4 linked regions of the Mus musculus genome follow. The protein of the gene in region 1 purifies or fractionates together with the protein of each later gene. This does not show direct contact. Links are inferred from orthologs where the notes say so. Each region holds a gene or a part of one and is shown in the gene's direction. Other genes may lie near its edges.

Region 1 (3,756 bases):
GCTAAAGATAGTAGCCTTTTATGATCTCCATAACTCCTTGGTTGGTGAGGAAAGGAAAAAAGTTGGTGGTCCTTTTAGCAAATATTTTGTGATTGCATTTTATAACTAAAGCAATTAACTCATTAGCCAAAGACTGAGACTAACTAGTTTAAGTAAAACAGATTGCCATTTGAACAATGGCTGTCTAGATTCTGAGTGCTAGTTTTCTTTTTGTATCCTTAGAAAGTTTAACATTTCCATTTCTTAGTTGTAGAAAAGCTGTCTTTGTTGAGCTCATGTAGTCACAGGTTCAGGATTAGATTGTAAATTATTATGTCATGGTATTGTGTTCTTCCTAGTGATCTCAGTGCCTTCTCAAATAGCAACATTTCTTTAGTAATTCGTAACAGGTCAAGAATTTTTAGGATGTTAGCTATTATTGAACTCTTGTCATAAAAGTCATATCAGATGACCTCAGCTGCACTCTTCAGGTAAGTGGTGAGACTGTTCGACATCTCTGTATACAAAGACTTAGACAGAAGTGTGCCTATACTATTTTTTCTGATCAGGTGTATGATGGATACTGATGATGAGGTACGGGACCGAGCTACCTTCTACCTGAATGTGCTACAGCAGAGACAGATGGCCCTGAATGCTACATATATCTTCAATGGTCAGTGAGAGTCAGGATTATGGACACATAGCACATTTGTTTGTCAAATGAGCAATGTTTTTTTTTTTTGTTTTTTGTTTTTTTGGTTTTTCGAGACAGGGTTTCTCTGTGTAGCCCTGGCTGTCCTGGAACTCACTTTGTAGACCAGGCTGGCCTGGAACTCAGAAATCCGCCTGCCCCTGCCTCCTGAGTGCTGGGATTAAAGGTGTGCACTACCACGCCTGGCTGAGCAATGATTTTTATGCTGAGTCATGTATTAGCTGACTCCTTTAGGCAGTTGAATGTTTTAAATCTTTGAATGCAATTCTGTTTCTAGAGAAACCCATATTCATAAAGGTATTTTCTAATTTGGTAATAGCAGTTCCTATAAAATAATAGAGAAGATGATTTTTTTTTAAAATATGAAAGGGTCCAAAGAATATGGCTTCTTAAGCTCCCTCTCTACAGAGTGAGCTCCAGGACAGCCAGGACTATAGAGAAACCCTGTCTCGAAAAACCAAAAAAAAGAAAAAAGAAAAAACTTAAGCTCCCTCTTAAATGGCTGTCCCCATTTTCATTTTCTTCTGCTTTTCTTGTTCCCATATAGATAAGATATTTTTTTATGAGAATTGCTTGCATTCTGTTGATATTTTTTATTCTTTGTTCCCATGTTTCCTTGAAAGAAATAAAGCAGCTTATAAGTTTATGAGGCAGATGTCTATAATAATCTTTTGTTAGATTAAGTAGGCTATCTACAGCTTCCTAATGCTGCAACCCTTTAATACAGTTCCTTACATTGTAGCAACCCCTACCATAACATTTTTGTCACCACTTCATAACTGTAATTTTGCTCCTGTTATGAATTGTAATACAAATATGTGTGTTTTCTGATGGTCTTAGACAGCCCTCGTGAAAGAGTACTTTGATCCCCACAGATTGAGAACCACTAGGCTATAGTTTTTTGTTATGTTTCTCTTTCTTTAAAAAGCTTAACCATTACAGATTGTTGAGAATAGATTATAATGTTGAGATTTTCCTGTCTCTAGGTCTGACAGTCTCTATACCAGGGATGGAAAAGGCCTTACACCAGTATACATTGGAGCCTTCAGAAAAACCCTTTGATATGAAGTCAATTCCTCTTGCTATGGCTCCTGTCTTTGAGCAGAAGTCAGGTATCAGAACTGTTTACCTCTATGAGTTTTTCTGTGTGTAAGTCATTTCATAAAAACTTGTAAATATAGCGTCTAACCTGGAGAATAAAAATAGAAAAAGATTTTTAAAAATAGCATAGTTTCTCTCTCTTTCATTTTTTTTTTTTAAATTCTTGTTTGTTTGGTTTTTGAGGCAGGGTCTCTCTATGTAGCCCTGTCTTAGAACTCACTATGTAGACAAAGCTGAGCTGAAACTCATAGAGAGCTACCTGCCTTATCTTCCAAGTGCTGGCATTAAAGGCATAATGTGCCGCCACACCAGGCATATTTTTTTCTCTTAATACTTTTTTTTTTATTCCTTGAGATCTTTTAGTACTAAGATAGATGACATTTTTTAAATTTAAGATTTTCATTTTTAAGCCTCTTTGGTTTTATCCAAAAGCCAGAATAAGAAATATGTCCTAAGTTGAAAAAAAATTTTAATTATTTAATACAAAATATCACAATATTTGAAGCTGTTTGCCACTGTGTATCTACTAGAAGTTATTGCCTTCATTTCTTTCTGTATACAAGGTCAGTTAGAAGTAGAAAAAAATTCACTTGACTGCTTATTTCTGTCTTTCTAGAAATTACACTTGTGACTCCTAAGCCAGAGAAGTTGGCTCCTTCCAGGCAAGACATTTTCCAAGGTATATTTTTATGAATACAATAGTTTTTAATCCCTAGGCATTATAAATTAATAACATCCACTGCTTTTATTCATTTTGATTAATTCTCAATTCTGTACATTTTCCTGTGTCATAGGCTTTAGTGGCTGGAGCTACCTGCTGTTCATGGACTTTCCAGTTACTAGTTTACTACCTGGGACTGTTATTCTTGTGCATATTTTGTTGGTTAAGAGAGAAAGAATTAGCAATTTAGTTTCTTCTTCCCTCCTACATAAAGGAATCTAGTATATAAACTTGGCAACTTAAAGGATTATTTCACAGAAGTTTGGAGATCTCCAAATTGACTTTTCAATTGTTAGTAAAACCTTAAAATTAACCGCTCTTTCTACTCTGTGGTAACTAAAGCATTTTAATAAAGTCTCTTCCTGTCTTCTTCATACTGTACTTGTATTTTCTTTCTCTTTGTACTTAACAGAACAGTTAGCTGCCATTCCTGAGTTTATGAACCTGGGACCCTTGTTTAAGTCTTCTGAGCCTGTGCAGCTTACAGAAGCAGAGACAGAGTATTTCGTTCGCTGTGTGAAGCACATGTTTACTGACCATATTGTATTCCAGGTGAGATAACAAACTAACTCTTGGTTCTTTTATAGCCTTTAAGTACAAGCTGCTATACTTGGAGACAAATAGTACTTCCCTATAGTTTATGATTCTAGTTCCTTTCATAAAGGATTGATTAAGCAACACTTCCAGTTTTCTTTTTAGATGTATACTAAGTTTCTTCCTCTGATGGGCTATTTTTGATAACTAAAATCTAAAAGGATATAAAATTAAAATGTTCCAAAAATAGATATACAGCATAATTTTTTAAAAATCAGTATTTAAACAAGGTCAACTAAGTGTGTTGGTCACAGAACTTAGCTTTGTAACACCTTGAAGTAGAGACAGACTCAGGAAGACACACACTGATGGCTCAGCACAAAGCACTCATAATAAGCCTGTCTGTTTCACAGACACAGTTGGGAGAACACTCATGGCAGGTATAAGGCTTGCCTTCAATCTAATACAAAAAGAAGAAAAGCCTTAGGAGACCTACAGTGCTACTTAGTGTTGAGTATAGTAGATGCCAGAGCTGAACTGTGAACTATGAGTGAGTAGAAACCACTTATTGGAAAGCATTTCTTATTCTTTACAAGTTTTCTATTGCTGACTTTTCAGTTTGACTGTACCAACACTCTAAATGACCAGCTGCTGGAGAAAGTAACAGTGCAGATGGAACCATCCGATTCCTATGAAGTGCTGTGCTGTA
Region 2 (4,437 bases), on another chromosome or scaffold:
GTGGTTACATGGGTACGCTATGGCCTGGCTAAGAGCTGATCATAGTCACTATTGCAGAACTTGATGTTGCTGACCTGCAGCAGCAAAAGATGGAGACACAAAATGAGCACGGCAGGTGGGGGCTTAACTCTCCAGCAGGTAAACTACAGGTGTTATATAGATTTAAGTATTATCAACAGGTTCTGTGGAATGGAGATGTTATTTTATTTTATATTTATTGATACTGTGTCAAATTAAAAATGCAAAGAGAATTAAGGAATCAAAAATAATAGAAGCCCAGCTATTCTCCACACTAGATATAGTTCACATTTTAAAAAGTTTCAACTAATTCTTGCAATTGGTTGCGCTACAGTATGCGATTATGTGATTATTCATGTCAATTATGTAAAAATCTCATTACTGAGAGAAAATTTGTTTTTACTGACAGAATAGTAAAAATGGATCTTTGAAAACTATCTGACTTTTTGTATATGAAAAACTGAGGCCTATAAATCTCCCAAGAGCCAGGCACTACCTAATGAAAACTCACCCTTACTTCTCTCAGGCTATACAATTCCTTTCTGGAAACCTAGGCTTTTCTCCAACTAGAGGTTTATAAGGAGCTAAGGGCAACTTCCATTTGTTTCATAGCATTATCTTTTTAAAAGGTGTGTGAAATCGATACACAATGTATTTGCACTTTTCCTGGCAATCATTTTTTTGAAATTCAACTAATTTATTAAAGAGCTATTTTGGCATAGCAGATAGAGCACTGGGCTTCCAGGGCGTATTCTCCCCTGAGCCCAGATCTTAACAACACTACTTACTATGCCATCTTGGCCAGTAAACCTGAGTTCTTTGAGTCTTACATTTCCAATCAATAAAACGGAGACGACTCCTACGTGATGTGGCAGTACCACCAACTGAAGGTACATAGCCAAACAAACGACCCGGTGGATGCTCTTTGAAGGGTAATCACCCGACTGCCTCCGGGAGCCTCCAGAACCAAGATCTCAGGGCTCCTCGGAGCCTCAAAGGCGGGAGCCGCGCCCACATCTTTTCCGCCTCGGTCGGTTTCACCCAAGACCCAGACACCGCTCTGGGCCCCGTTCCGGAGCCCGCTGGAGTACACAGTTTTAGAGCTTTCTTTTCTCTGCCAGAGGCTCACGCTGTTCGGATAGCGCTTCCGGGCCCCTCCACTGCTGCCGACGTTCAGCAGGAATCCAGCACTGCGCTCCATCTTCTTGCCTTTCTGAAACTGACCGAAGGTGAGCAGCCCAGACCGCCGCTAGTCACCGCCCAACTCTGGCCACAGCAATACACTCCATCAGCCAGCTCAGCAGCGGGAGACGCGGAAGTCCGCGTTACCTAGGAAACTGGGGCGGGACCATGCACGGACCGCCTTACGGAGGGTGTGCGCAGGCGCAGAGCCTGGCTCCGAGTACCGCGAGAGTCGCTTCCCGGAAGTTCCACGTCAGTGGGTTGGCCGGTCCACGGGTCGGTGGGTTCCTGAGTGTGTCGCCTTGAGCCTGTGACGGGCAGGGGCTCGCTCGGACAGTCGGAGCCATGGTAAGTCGGGCCTCAGGGGACAGAGAGTGGAGCCCACCGGCTGCGGCGGGTTCCCGGGGCTTCTTGGCTAGGAGCAGTAGCTAGAAGCGGTCTGCGCTGCTACTGCTGCGGCCTGACGGGGTCCTCCTGTCCCGTTGGCGTCCTGGGAGGAAGAAGGCCAGACCGGGAGGCTGCCGTGGTGACACAGTAGTGTAACTGGGTACCCGCGAAGGAGCGGCGCCCCCGACTCTCAGGGCGGTCAGGGCGCCTGTCAGTGCCCTTGCAGTCTGCACCGGGTCCGGTAGTGCAAGTAAATGCTAGAGTCAGGACTCGGATGCCAAAGGCAACTTTGACCAAGTCACTTTATTCTGTCATTGAGGGTGGTGCTTGCTAACCCACCTTCCAGGTTGCGTGAGGTGTTTGGTAGTGTGCAGGCACCACATTGCAAACTTAAGCAGAGGAAAACCAGAACTAAACAAAGTTAAATGTATATGGAGCCAGAGGTGAAATTTCAAATGCTATGGCAGCCCAGCTCGTCGTTTTCTAGTTGATGTTGATTGGGCCTTCTGTGCACACAGAGGATGACCTTTTTGGGGAAGGCCCTGAGATCTGCCTAACTTAGTTTTGAGACATATTTTTAATAGTCAATTAAAAATTGACTTTCCTTCTTCAATGTTTGTGAGTTCCATACCCACACATTGAACCAGCTTTCGGTGGAAGACATTTGAGGAAAACTGTTGTGTGAACATGTGCTGTCATAGTATACAACGACTCTTTACAACTTTGACCCCTGTATCGGTGTTCTAACTAATCTAGAGATGACCAGGAGTGATGGGTAAATTATAAGCACTTAAATAACTGAACGTGAGCGTTTTGATTTGGTGGAGGATACTGGAACCATGTGCAGAGATACTAAAAGATGGCTGTATTTTAAGTCTCGAGTAAAAAGTACAAAACATGACTTTATTTATTTGCTCACTCACCATAGGAGCATTTCACTGTCCTGCATTTTGCTAAACATTTACCAGCTGATTGTCACCGCAGCCTGTGGATAATTATGAGTAATGTTTATGGTGGTTACTATAAGCCGTGCTCTGCTCTAACTGAACTCTGATTTTAATTCTCAGAATGCTAAGAGAGATATTATTATTATCCCTGTTATACAAGTCAAACCTTGGGTGTTAATTAAACTTACTACCATGTGTCTGACATGAGCGCTGCAGCTGAGGCTTCTAGCAAGACTGTGGACCTCATCTATACTACCTGTTCCTCCCGTATTCCCAAATACATATGGTGTGGAGAGAAGGAGCTGGATAAGCACTGAGCCTGCCCTTCAGAAATAAACCACTCCACAAGCAAGAAGAGCTGTGTACGTGGATGGGGAAGAATCCTCTGGCTAGGCTAATCAGAAAGGGCATAATGGTGGCAGTGGCATTTAAACTAAGTCTGGAGTTGAGGATGCAGTGTGAGTAGTTTAATCGTCTAAGACCTGGTATGATATCTTTAAAACACTCATGACTGGGATGGTAAGTATGACTCCAGGAGCGCTTGCCTGCAGTAATGCACATTTTAAAATGGGTGTCTTTACTTTGGGGTATGTGCAGCTATATACTAGGTAGTTCAGAGATCCCTAGCCATTTTGAAAAATCAATTTGAAAACCTTGTTAGGATTATCCTAACAATCCTATTTTACACACACATACACACACCACACACTTACACATACTTACTTGGATGTGGGGGCTTATGTTATGTTGAAGATCCCACTATGGCTCCTGGCATAACATACTTCCTGCTTGTTGTTGACTCAAAGATGAGAGGGAGAAGTTAAATTTTGTGACAGTAATTAGTGGGGCAAACATTTAGAAATCATCGAAAAGGTTTGCTCCCCTGAGATTAGCTTGTGATTTAAAGATGGTGGCTTGAGTATGTTAGAGATGGGCAGGGCTGCATGACAGTGGAGGTGTTCTCACGAGAACTGACTAGTTAGAGCACGGGCCTAAAGCTGGTTTTGGAAGTGAAGAGCAAACAATGAAGAACAGTTAGAAGTACATGTGTCAAACAGACACACAGAGAGAGGAGACTGAGAGCCTTGTTAGGTGTCTGTTTCAGGGCATTCCCTCTGCCGGGTCCTCAGTTTTGTGCTGAGAAGCAAACCTTCGCTTTCTGTTGAATTCATGACTGTTAGGGAACAGCACAGAGGCACCAGCACAGTAACTCATCCTGGCAGTAAGGTCCAGGTTGTGCGCTAGGCTTATGGAAGGGGAAGTGCATTTTAAACGAGCCTACAAGAAAGAGTGGAAGAAGAGAGAGTGTTCCAGGACTTCACTGTGGAATGAACTAACTTTTCTTCTGGAATGGCTTCCCTGGGAGAGACGGAACACAGTCGCTTGCTCAAATCATTTTCTGTTCTGTGGTTCAGAACTGTTCATAGCTGTGGTCTGACTGGAGAAGGACAGTTTTAAACTGTTACTATTTTATGGCTTAAATTTGTTTAAAATTGTTCTGTTTTTCAGTATGTATCTGTAAATTCAAAAGGCCTTTATGAACAGGAGTAAACCCTTTTTGATCAGACATTACTTGCCTACAGTTTAAATGCCCTCCCCATCTGATTATTTTTAAAGAGCTCATTTAATGTTATGGTCTAGGATTACTACAGCTTCATAAATGATATACCTTCACAACATTGTCTGCTACAACACTAATGCATGGACATGAAATTGTGATTTAGCTGATGTTCTAAATTTATTTACCTATCTATAAACTGGGGGTTTCAGAAGTGTCTTCTGAAGTTCCTTGGAGGTCTCTTACTGTTTGAGGAAGTCAACAGATGAGAAGTTTTACCAACAGTAAGATGTGTTGCCCTTCCCGCTAGGTTTATATTTGCACTGGTGAAAGGTGACCATGTTG
Region 3 (3,756 bases), on another chromosome or scaffold:
GCCTTGGCTGTCAAGAAACTCGATTTGTAGACCAGGCTGGCCTTGAACTCACAGAGATTCACTGCTTCTTCTTTCCAAGTGCTGAGATAAAAGCATGCATGACCTCACCTGGCTCTGAGTACCATTTTTAACAAGGACTTTCCAACCACCTCCCTCTGATTTCAGCTCTTAATTAGTTAAAGATCTCTCTCTTTACTAATCCATCAGGCAGCTTTTTTTTTTTTTTTTTTTTTTTTTTTCCAGTTGTTTCCATCAGGCAGTTTGGTAAAGGCGTAGGGGTAGGGGCTGAAGAGATAGGGCAGCTGTTAAGAGCATTGGCTGCTCTTCCAGAGGACCTGGGAGATTCCCAACACCTACACAGGAGCTCATGACTGTCTTTATCACTCCAATCCCAGGGATTCTGGTGCCTTCTTCTGGCCTCTTTGGGTACTGCACACATGTGGTATACACACATAGTTTTAGACAGACATGTATATACATTAAATAAAATAATTATTAAAAAGACTTAGAGGCAGAGAGGGATGGCAATGCACTCCTATTATCCCAGCACTTGGGAAGTATAGGCAGGATAATCATCAGGAATTTAGGATTGACCTCAGTTACGTAGGTGGTTCAAGACCAACGGGGGCTATGTGACAGACTACCTCAAAAAAGCAAAACACAGGTGGAACTATTGCTTAGTGTTAAGAATGCTTGCTGTTCTTTCTGAGTACTTGAGTTTGGTTGCTAGCACCCATGCTGGGCAGCTCATACTCTTTGTAACTCCTGCTCCAAGGAGATCCAGTGCTCTCTTCTGGAATCCATGGGCACTCCTGTGCGCATGCATGTAAAACACACAGAGAGAAAAGTAAATCTTTAATAAAAAGTAAATACACAGAGTGCTATAATCGTCTATAGAGGACTATACCAGCAAAGTCCTGTTTCAGTTTCTGCCTTAAAGAAGCCTCCACTTGGGGGCTGATGAGATGGCTCAGTGGTTAAGAGCGCTGACTGCTCTTCCAAAGGTCCTGAGTTCAAATCCCAGCAACCACATGTTGGCTCACAACCATTCGTAACGAAATCTGATGCTCTCTTCTGGAGTGTCTGAAGACACACTACAGTGTACTTACATATAATAAATTAATTAATTAAAAAAAAAAGAAGGGCTGGTGAGATGGCTCAGTGGGTTAGAGCACCCGACTGCTCTTCCGAAGGTGCAGAGTTCAAATCCCAGCAACCACATGGTGGCTCACAACCATCCGTAACAAGATCTGACCCCCTCTTCTGGAGTGTCTGAAGACAGCTACAGTGTACTTACATATAATAAATAAATAAATAAATAAATAAATAAATAAATCTTTAAAAAAAAAAAAAAAAGAAGCCTCTACTTGTGGAATTGCTTAGTAGAACTAACTTCTTTGAGAAGCCAGAGTCCTTCTGCTGTTGTGTTTGCCCTTCACATTATGTCTCTGGCCGTTTGTGAAAGCTTATGCTTTTTGGTGAGGAATAAAAAGTGGAAGGTCTGTTTTGGGGTAGCAGTTTTAGGGCCTTGAACCTTCCTTCTCCTTTCTCAACAGCTGATGCTTATGGCTGTTCTGAACTGCCTCTTCGATTCCCTGAGCCAGATGCTGAGGTGAGCAGCCATTCTCATTTTAAATTTGGAAGGGAAATACCTATTCCTTAGAGCCCGGGATTAGTGGGAAATCTGAGCCACACTGGGGAATTGGTTCAGTGTAAGACATAGACTTGCTGTTTGTGGATAACTAATTTGAGTGGAGGGTTAGGTGGAGAGAATGGTCTTCATGTGGAATCATTCTCTTACTGAGGGAGGAAAGAGAGTCCTTCAGGAAGAATACTCTATTCTCTGTTTCCTTTGGCTGCCCTGATGATTAGAACCAAGGGTAGGCAACTGTTCTACCACTGAGCTTCTCACCTAAACTTTTTCTTTATTTTATTTTTCTTTTAATTTAAGACAAGGTCCTAGGGGGAAAAAAAAAAGAAAGAAAGAAAGAAAGAAGGAAAGAAAGAAAGAAAGAAAGAAAGAAAGAAAGAAAGAAAGAAAGAAAGAAAGATTGATTCTGAAAACTAATGTAAAGGAACCGTAATCCTGTCACCAGAACACATCATGCTTAAGATTCAGTTGGGAGCAGAGCATATCAGATGCTCTAAAATAATCGAGAGGTTGATTATCTATAGCTTTTCAAGCCTTTTTGTGTCTTGACATCAACTTTTAACCTTAGAGTCTTTGATACACAAATAAAAATTTACCCAGGCTGTCTTAAGATTCTATTTGTAACCCAGGCAACCCTTGAACATGTAACCCCTGCTTCAGCTTCAAGAGTAGTTTGGAGTACAGACTCGGACCTCGTCTGTATGCCTGTACCTACTCTTGTCATGTCCAGTAACTCTGATGGTGTTCTGAGCCCCAGATGCTTTCCTAGGCCTGTCCGCTGGGTTTGAAGGAGGGGAAGGCCAGGGAAGTGACCCAGTGACCCAGGTGAAACTTCCCTATCTTGGAAAAGGAGGAAACACCACAATTTTCCATTGCTAGCCCTTATAGTCTTTCCCTGGACACAGAATGGGCCCACTGTGCTCTTTGCCCTCTACCTCCCCAGTAGCCCTCTGTTCCCACGCACACAAGCAAGGGAAGATATAAGATACTTTCTCTGAAAACATTCAAGGCTCTGAACTTCAGCCACAGCAGCTCCTAAAAGTGAACACATTTTAGAAATCCATGTGGAGTAGAACAGCGGGTGCTCTCAGCCCACAACCCAGCAGCCAGAGGCTCAGGTTTCCTCAGGAAGGGGGTGATTTATTTCCCAGCCAGGTGAATGAATAGACTTCATTTCGGGTAATCTAGAGAAAGAGTCATACTGACGGATGTGACAGGCCACATGCACCAACCACCGGATCTGAGGCTGGTAGATGCAGCCCCTGGCTGTTCCCAGCCCCTCCTTGGCCTTTGTTTTAGGGTTTGAACAGACCTGGGGGGAGGGGAGAGGCAGAGAGACTTCAGAAGGAGCTTGAACGCAGAGGGTTTTGCATTCCCACTCCTCCCACCTTTCCACCATCACCAACTCCAGATTATGAGCTATGAATTTTTTTCCTATCTTCTATGTCTTTTTACAAGCACCTCCACCAGCAGCAGCAGCAGCAGCATGCTGGATAAGTAGCCTAGGAGTCAGAAGTTAGCTGTTTGGGATCCCCCCCAGAATGTCAAGACTCTGGTCACTGTTCAGTGGTATAAAAGGCTCTTTTTCACCTCACTCCCTTCTACATGTGGGTGGTGGAGGCAGTTACTGGTTAGGGTTAGGATCCCTTATTTAGACAGTATCCCAGAATTCCTTTCTCACACAACCTAATTTTTCCTCTTCTTTTGGGGATTCAGGAAAAATGTAGAAAAGCGAGCTTTGCTGGAGAACATGGAGGGCCTCTTCTTGGCTGTGGATGAAATTGTAGATGGAGGGTGAGTTCTCTGCCCTGCCCGTATTTGGAGTGGGGAGGGGAGGTGGCTGCCCCTCAGCTAGTGAACCTGACTTACAGCAAATTGGTCCCTTGGAGCAAACAACCGTCTTCTTTGTGTTTGTAGGGTGATCCTAGAGAGCGACCCCCAGCAAGTGGTGCACCGGGTGGCTTTGAGGGTAAGCAGGGATGTGTATCCCATCTCTCCACGGATCCTCCCAAGCCAGGCTTGCTGGGTGGGTGTAGCTGAGGGTCAGCTTATACATAGGTCCCACCTTCTCCTGTCCTCTTCACACGAATGTATCATTCTCCCGG
Region 4 (4,437 bases), on another chromosome or scaffold:
ATAGATGGGTATGGTCTGCTTTTAGTACGAGGTGAGCTTACAGTTCACTAGAGCTACAGATGAGTTGGAGGCACTGGGTCCTTCTCTCCCCTAGTTAGTCTAAGACTCGGAGAGTTACAGGTGCTCTGCTATGTGACTGAGCCCATGATTAGAAAGGAAGGGCAGCCAGGCAGTAGTGGCGCACACCTTTAATTTCAGCACTTGGGAGGCAGAGGCAGGCAGATTTCTGAGTTCAAGGCCAGCCTGTTCTACAGAGTGAGTTCCAGGACAGCCAGGGCTATACAGAGAAACCCTGTCTCAAAAAAACAAAAAAACAAGGGAAAAAAAAAAGAAAGAAAAGAGAATAGAAGAGAGGCAGCCTCAAGACCCAAACTATTCATTAGAGAAGACTTGGGGCCCCAATGGACCAATGGGATGGGGAATTTGGGGAGGGGAAAAGCCCTGCAGGTCTATGGAAGAAAAGGTCAGGAATTTCCCATATTTGGGGAAAGGCTTCAAAAACTTGCTTGAAATCACCACACCAGCTATTTTTGCCTTTTCTCTATGCTGGTACCCCTTTCTCCAGAATTGAATATTTAAAACTGTTTCATTTCCACTAGTCCCTTGAACGTGTTATTATCTAATTTCCAACAATTATTATAATTGCTTGTTTGAAACAAATTTTCAGGTAGCCCAGGCTGGTCTGCAACTTGCTACCAAACTGAGGATCACCTTGAACTCCTGATCCTCTTGCTTCCACCTGCTCAGTATTGAGATGACTGAGAGTCACCACGTCCGGCTCCAAGGACGCCTCTTTAATGGCAAAAGTGAACTGGGTCGAAGAGCACTGACACAAACACGGAGCATTGGTTTTTACCTGGAGTTTGACGGCTTCTACGTCAAAGCCAGCTCTACCCTTTTTTTTTTTCAGTGCCATGTTTTAGTCATTCACCGATCTCTCCCTATGCTCGGGTGCTACGAAAACTTAAGAGGTGCCACCCATCACCTGTGTGATAATGAACACGAGTCGGTCGCAGCGTAAATGTCAATGCTGCGGGTCAGGGTCCCCGAAACACTCAATGCTGTCCTGATTCCTGGAACCCAAGTGGGGCTAAGGAAGAGCGGGCAAAGAAAGGCATTAAAAGAAAGGCGAGAACTCACCTTCCAGGATGGCCGGAATGCACCCGAGCTGCACCGGCGTGGGCTGCTTCAACCCCAGCTGTCGACACTGTTCTACCAGCCACGACGACAACCCGATCTCAGCGAACCCCGCCATGCTCCAGACCCGGGCAGAGAACCTAGAAATGAGTGCTTCCGGCGCGTGAATGCTACGTCACGTCCACCCCGGCGCAGTCCGGCCTGGAAAAGTTGTGAGAGGACGTTGGCGGAGGAATGTGACGTCACGGAGAGACCCTCTCCAGATCCTTCAACCAATCCGAGCTTTGACCGCTTTTCAGTGTTTTGGTTCTGAAGGCCTTGTGTTTGTTGACGGAATCCGAACTATAGTTCTCGGGAGGCTTTGCAAGGTTTCTTTTTCATCGCCTCTGATTTGTCCCATAGAACTACGTTTCCCAGAGTTCCTGACGACGGGGACCTGCTTCCGGCCTACGTGTCCCAGAAGAAGGTTGGTTAGAGGTGCGGTGACATGGCTCCTCCGGTTCCTGGCGCGGTCTCTGGCGGCTCCGGAGAGGTAGATGAGCTGTTCGACGTGAAGAACGCTTTCTACATCGGCAGCTACCAGCAGTGCATCAACGAGGCTCAGCGCGTGAAGGTGGGCAGCGTGCGGAGCAGCTTCCGGCGCGCTCTGAGGTTCTGGTCCGAGGACTCGGTTTCTCTTATAATTAGGGATGGTTTTCAATTTACTCTGTAACCGAGGCTAACCTTGAGGTCCTGCGCCTCCAGTCTTCACCCCTCCAGTGCTAGGATGACAGGTGTGCACCCCTGTGCCAAGCTTCCAACTTTCTGGTGGTTGATTGACAGGGGCTCACTTTATAGCCCAGGCTGACCTGAAGTCAGGGTAATGGTGAGGTGACAGGTGTGCGCCACTAGCTCCATCATAAAACCTCTTACTGTTTCGTTTTTAAACCCCCCCCGCCCCCCTTTTTTAAGTGTCTAAAGTCAGGCATCATGGTGCACGCCTTCTATTCCAGCACTTGGGAGGCTGATCTCTGTAAGTTTAGGGTCAGCCTGATCTTCATAAGCAGTTCTAGGTCAGTTCGGGTAATACTGTAATCTGTCTTAATAATAGTCCTAAACCGGAGGTAGCTTGGTGTGCCTTAAATCCCAGCACCCAGAGGCAGAGGCAGTCAAGTCTCTGAGTTTTGGACCACTCTGATCTACATAGCGACTTCCAGGACAGCCAGGGTGCTACAGAAAAACCCCGTCTTGAACTGTACCCTCCTCGCCTCCCCCACTCCCCCCAAAAGGGAAGTTTGGTTATAAAAGAAGACAGTCTCCTTTAGCCCAGGCTGGCCTCAGACTCCCCATGTTGCTGAAGAGCACTGAATTCCTGATGGCCATGCCTGCTCTCTGGAGTGCTGGGATCATAGTGTGCACAGCCAAAGCACAGCTTCGATGCAAATGCTCCACAGGCTAAATCCTTGCCCTGGTTTTGTTTTATGTTTTAAGCAGCTTCATATAGCCCAGGCTGTCCCTAGATGTAGCAGTCTTGTCTCAGCCTCCCAGATGCAGGATGACAGGCCTGTGCCACAATGCTCAGCTTGTCTTTAGTTCATTAAAGATGTGACCCGTGTTTGCAACAGCCTGTGTGTGTTGTTGACAGAATCACCTGTCACTCATTCTTCACTGTGCACTCGTGGAAAACAGCATTCCTGCTGGGCTCAGTAAGGGATGGAGTTGGTGGAACTACAGGCTTTCTAGGTATAGTAGCCTTGGCAACAGAGGCAGCACAGAGAGCCAGGAAATGGCAGAATGGGTGTAGAAAGTGGTGGTCTTAGACTTGCCTGTTTTGAATGTGAAACAGAGTCAGGGCTGTGATGGGCTGGGGCATGGCTCAGGTAAACTATGTGGAGGCTTGTCCTTACCAGGCTAAAAAGCTGTTTTGTTAAGGTTCTGGACAAGAGGCAAGAAGATCCAACTTGTTCTCAGCTATGTAGTGAGTTTGAGGCCAGCCTAGTCTGCATGAAACCCTGTCTCCAAAACTCCCAAAATAATAAAATCAAAGCCAAATTCATTGAGCTTGTAAAGCGCCCAACAGGGCTGGGGCATGCAGCTGTGCTGCTGCTGTAGCCGTAGTGGCACTGCACGCTGTGATACTGGGATGACGCTGTGATACTGGGATGACGGCGGAGCCTCCTTGGGCTCGCATCAGTTGAGAGAAGATCAGGGCTTTGCACACTGGGTGCCCTCTGGAGGCTTTGGGGCTTCTGGGTCTCCTGGATTCCAGCTGAGACCCAGAGCTATGAGCCTAGCAGGGAGGCTGCCCAGCCTCACTCTGCATATCTTCTCACAGCTCTCCAGTCCTGAGCGGGAAGTAGAGAGGGATGTCTTCCTATACAGAGCATACCTCGCACAGGTGAGTGTGGACAGCCTGGGGAAGGGCACAGAGTATTATGCAGGAAAGCCGTGGACAGCCAGGCCAGGGGACTGTCAGGATGCCTCATCACGGGGAGGGTTAAGTATGTGTGGTCCTGAGAATTGAACTCAGGTCATCAGGCTTGGCAGCCATCTCACATAGCTTAGACTGGCCTTGGATTCACTATGGAGTCCAGGATGACCTTCCTTTCCTGCCTCCACCTCCCTTGTGCTACCATGCCTGGCTTCGTCATTACCTACAGAAAACACAAGGTGTATTTTCACTTCTGTGTTCTAAAAACAGCCCCAGGCTGTGCAAGGTGGCACAGGCCCGTCTTCCCAGCACTTGGGAGCCTGAGGCAGAAGGAGCTCAAGTTTAAAGTACCCTGGGCTACACAACAAAATGCTGCTCAAAAAGATATATTCCTAGTGACCTCTGAAAAGGTCTTCTTCACTCTGGCCCAGGGCAAGGGCTGAGGTGCCCCAGGAGGAGCCTGGTAAACAGCCTCCTAACCACAGACTGCATCACCACCCTGTGCCTAGGTCAGTCGCACACTCTGTGTGGTTCTGTGTGGCTGTGATCTTCCCAACAGGGCATGGTGACACAGTACTTGGAAGGCTGAGGAAGGGGATTGCTGCAACTCTGAAAGCAGCCTGGTTGAGAAAGGACAGCAAGGGACAGGTGGCTCCAGAAGTAGCTGTGGGTGTCAGCAAGAGATCTGCCAGGTGGGGGAAGGTGGGACATAGCAGACACCCTCTGCCCCCACCCTGCTGACACATGTCCCCAGCTACAGCAGGGAAAACAAACGTGGCCACCTTGCTGCCTGCTGCAGATGCATGTGACACTGCTGTCTTGGGCAGTGTGCTGGTGGTGTGGGCTGTGGGTTGGGAATATAAAGCCTTTAGGTAGGAAGGACTGATATG

What was found.
Region 2: the proteins of Copg2 (region 1) and Copb2 fractionate together in Homo sapiens (co-fractionation; 4 studies listed by BioGRID and IntAct, with this or other methods). This does not show direct contact. The link is inferred for Mus musculus from reciprocal best matches to the Homo sapiens genes COPG2 and COPB2.
Region 3: the proteins of Copg2 (region 1) and Copz1 fractionate together in Homo sapiens (co-fractionation; 5 studies listed by BioGRID and IntAct, with this or other methods). This does not show direct contact. The link is inferred for Mus musculus from reciprocal best matches to the Homo sapiens genes COPG2 and COPZ1.
Region 4: the proteins of Copg2 (region 1) and Cope purify together in Homo sapiens (affinity purification with mass spectrometry; 5 studies listed by BioGRID and IntAct, with this or other methods). This does not show direct contact. The link is inferred for Mus musculus from reciprocal best matches to the Homo sapiens genes COPG2 and COPE.

What each region holds. Positions count from the first base shown.
Region 1 is NC_000072.6:30,809,640-30,813,395, reverse strand, and holds part of Copg2 (coatomer subunit gamma-2), read left to right. Parts: intron 1-548; coding exon 549-652; intron 653-1,677; coding exon 1,678-1,803; intron 1,804-2,408; coding exon 2,409-2,471; intron 2,472-2,925; coding exon 2,926-3,065; intron 3,066-3,665; coding exon 3,666-3,756. UniProt on the Homo sapiens protein: The coatomer is a cytosolic protein complex that binds to dilysine motifs and reversibly associates with Golgi non-clathrin-coated vesicles, which further mediate biosynthetic protein transport from the ER, via the Golgi up to the trans Golgi network.
Region 2 is NC_000075.6:98,562,276-98,566,712, forward strand, and holds the start of Copb2 (coatomer subunit beta'), read left to right. Parts: upstream 1-1,455; 5' UTR 1,456-1,545; coding exon 1,546-1,548; intron 1,549-4,437. UniProt on the Homo sapiens protein: The coatomer is a cytosolic protein complex that binds to dilysine motifs and reversibly associates with Golgi non-clathrin-coated vesicles, which further mediate biosynthetic protein transport from the ER, via the Golgi up to the trans Golgi network.
Region 3 is NC_000081.6:103,293,166-103,296,921, forward strand, and holds part of Copz1 (coatomer subunit zeta-1), read left to right. Parts: intron 1-1,556; coding exon 1,557-1,612; intron 1,613-3,367; coding exon 3,368-3,445; intron 3,446-3,568; coding exon 3,569-3,620; intron 3,621-3,756. UniProt on the Homo sapiens protein: The coatomer is a cytosolic protein complex that binds to dilysine motifs and reversibly associates with Golgi non-clathrin-coated vesicles, which further mediate biosynthetic protein transport from the ER, via the Golgi up to the trans Golgi network.
Region 4 is NC_000074.6:70,301,183-70,305,619, forward strand, and holds the start of Cope (coatomer subunit epsilon), read left to right. Parts: upstream 1-1,584; 5' UTR 1,585-1,624; coding exon 1,625-1,750; intron 1,751-3,451; coding exon 3,452-3,514; intron 3,515-4,437. Other genes in the region: probable ATP-dependent RNA helicase DDX49, read right to left, coding at 1,141-1,255. UniProt on the Homo sapiens protein: The coatomer is a cytosolic protein complex that binds to dilysine motifs and reversibly associates with Golgi non-clathrin-coated vesicles, which further mediate biosynthetic protein transport from the ER, via the Golgi up to the trans Golgi network.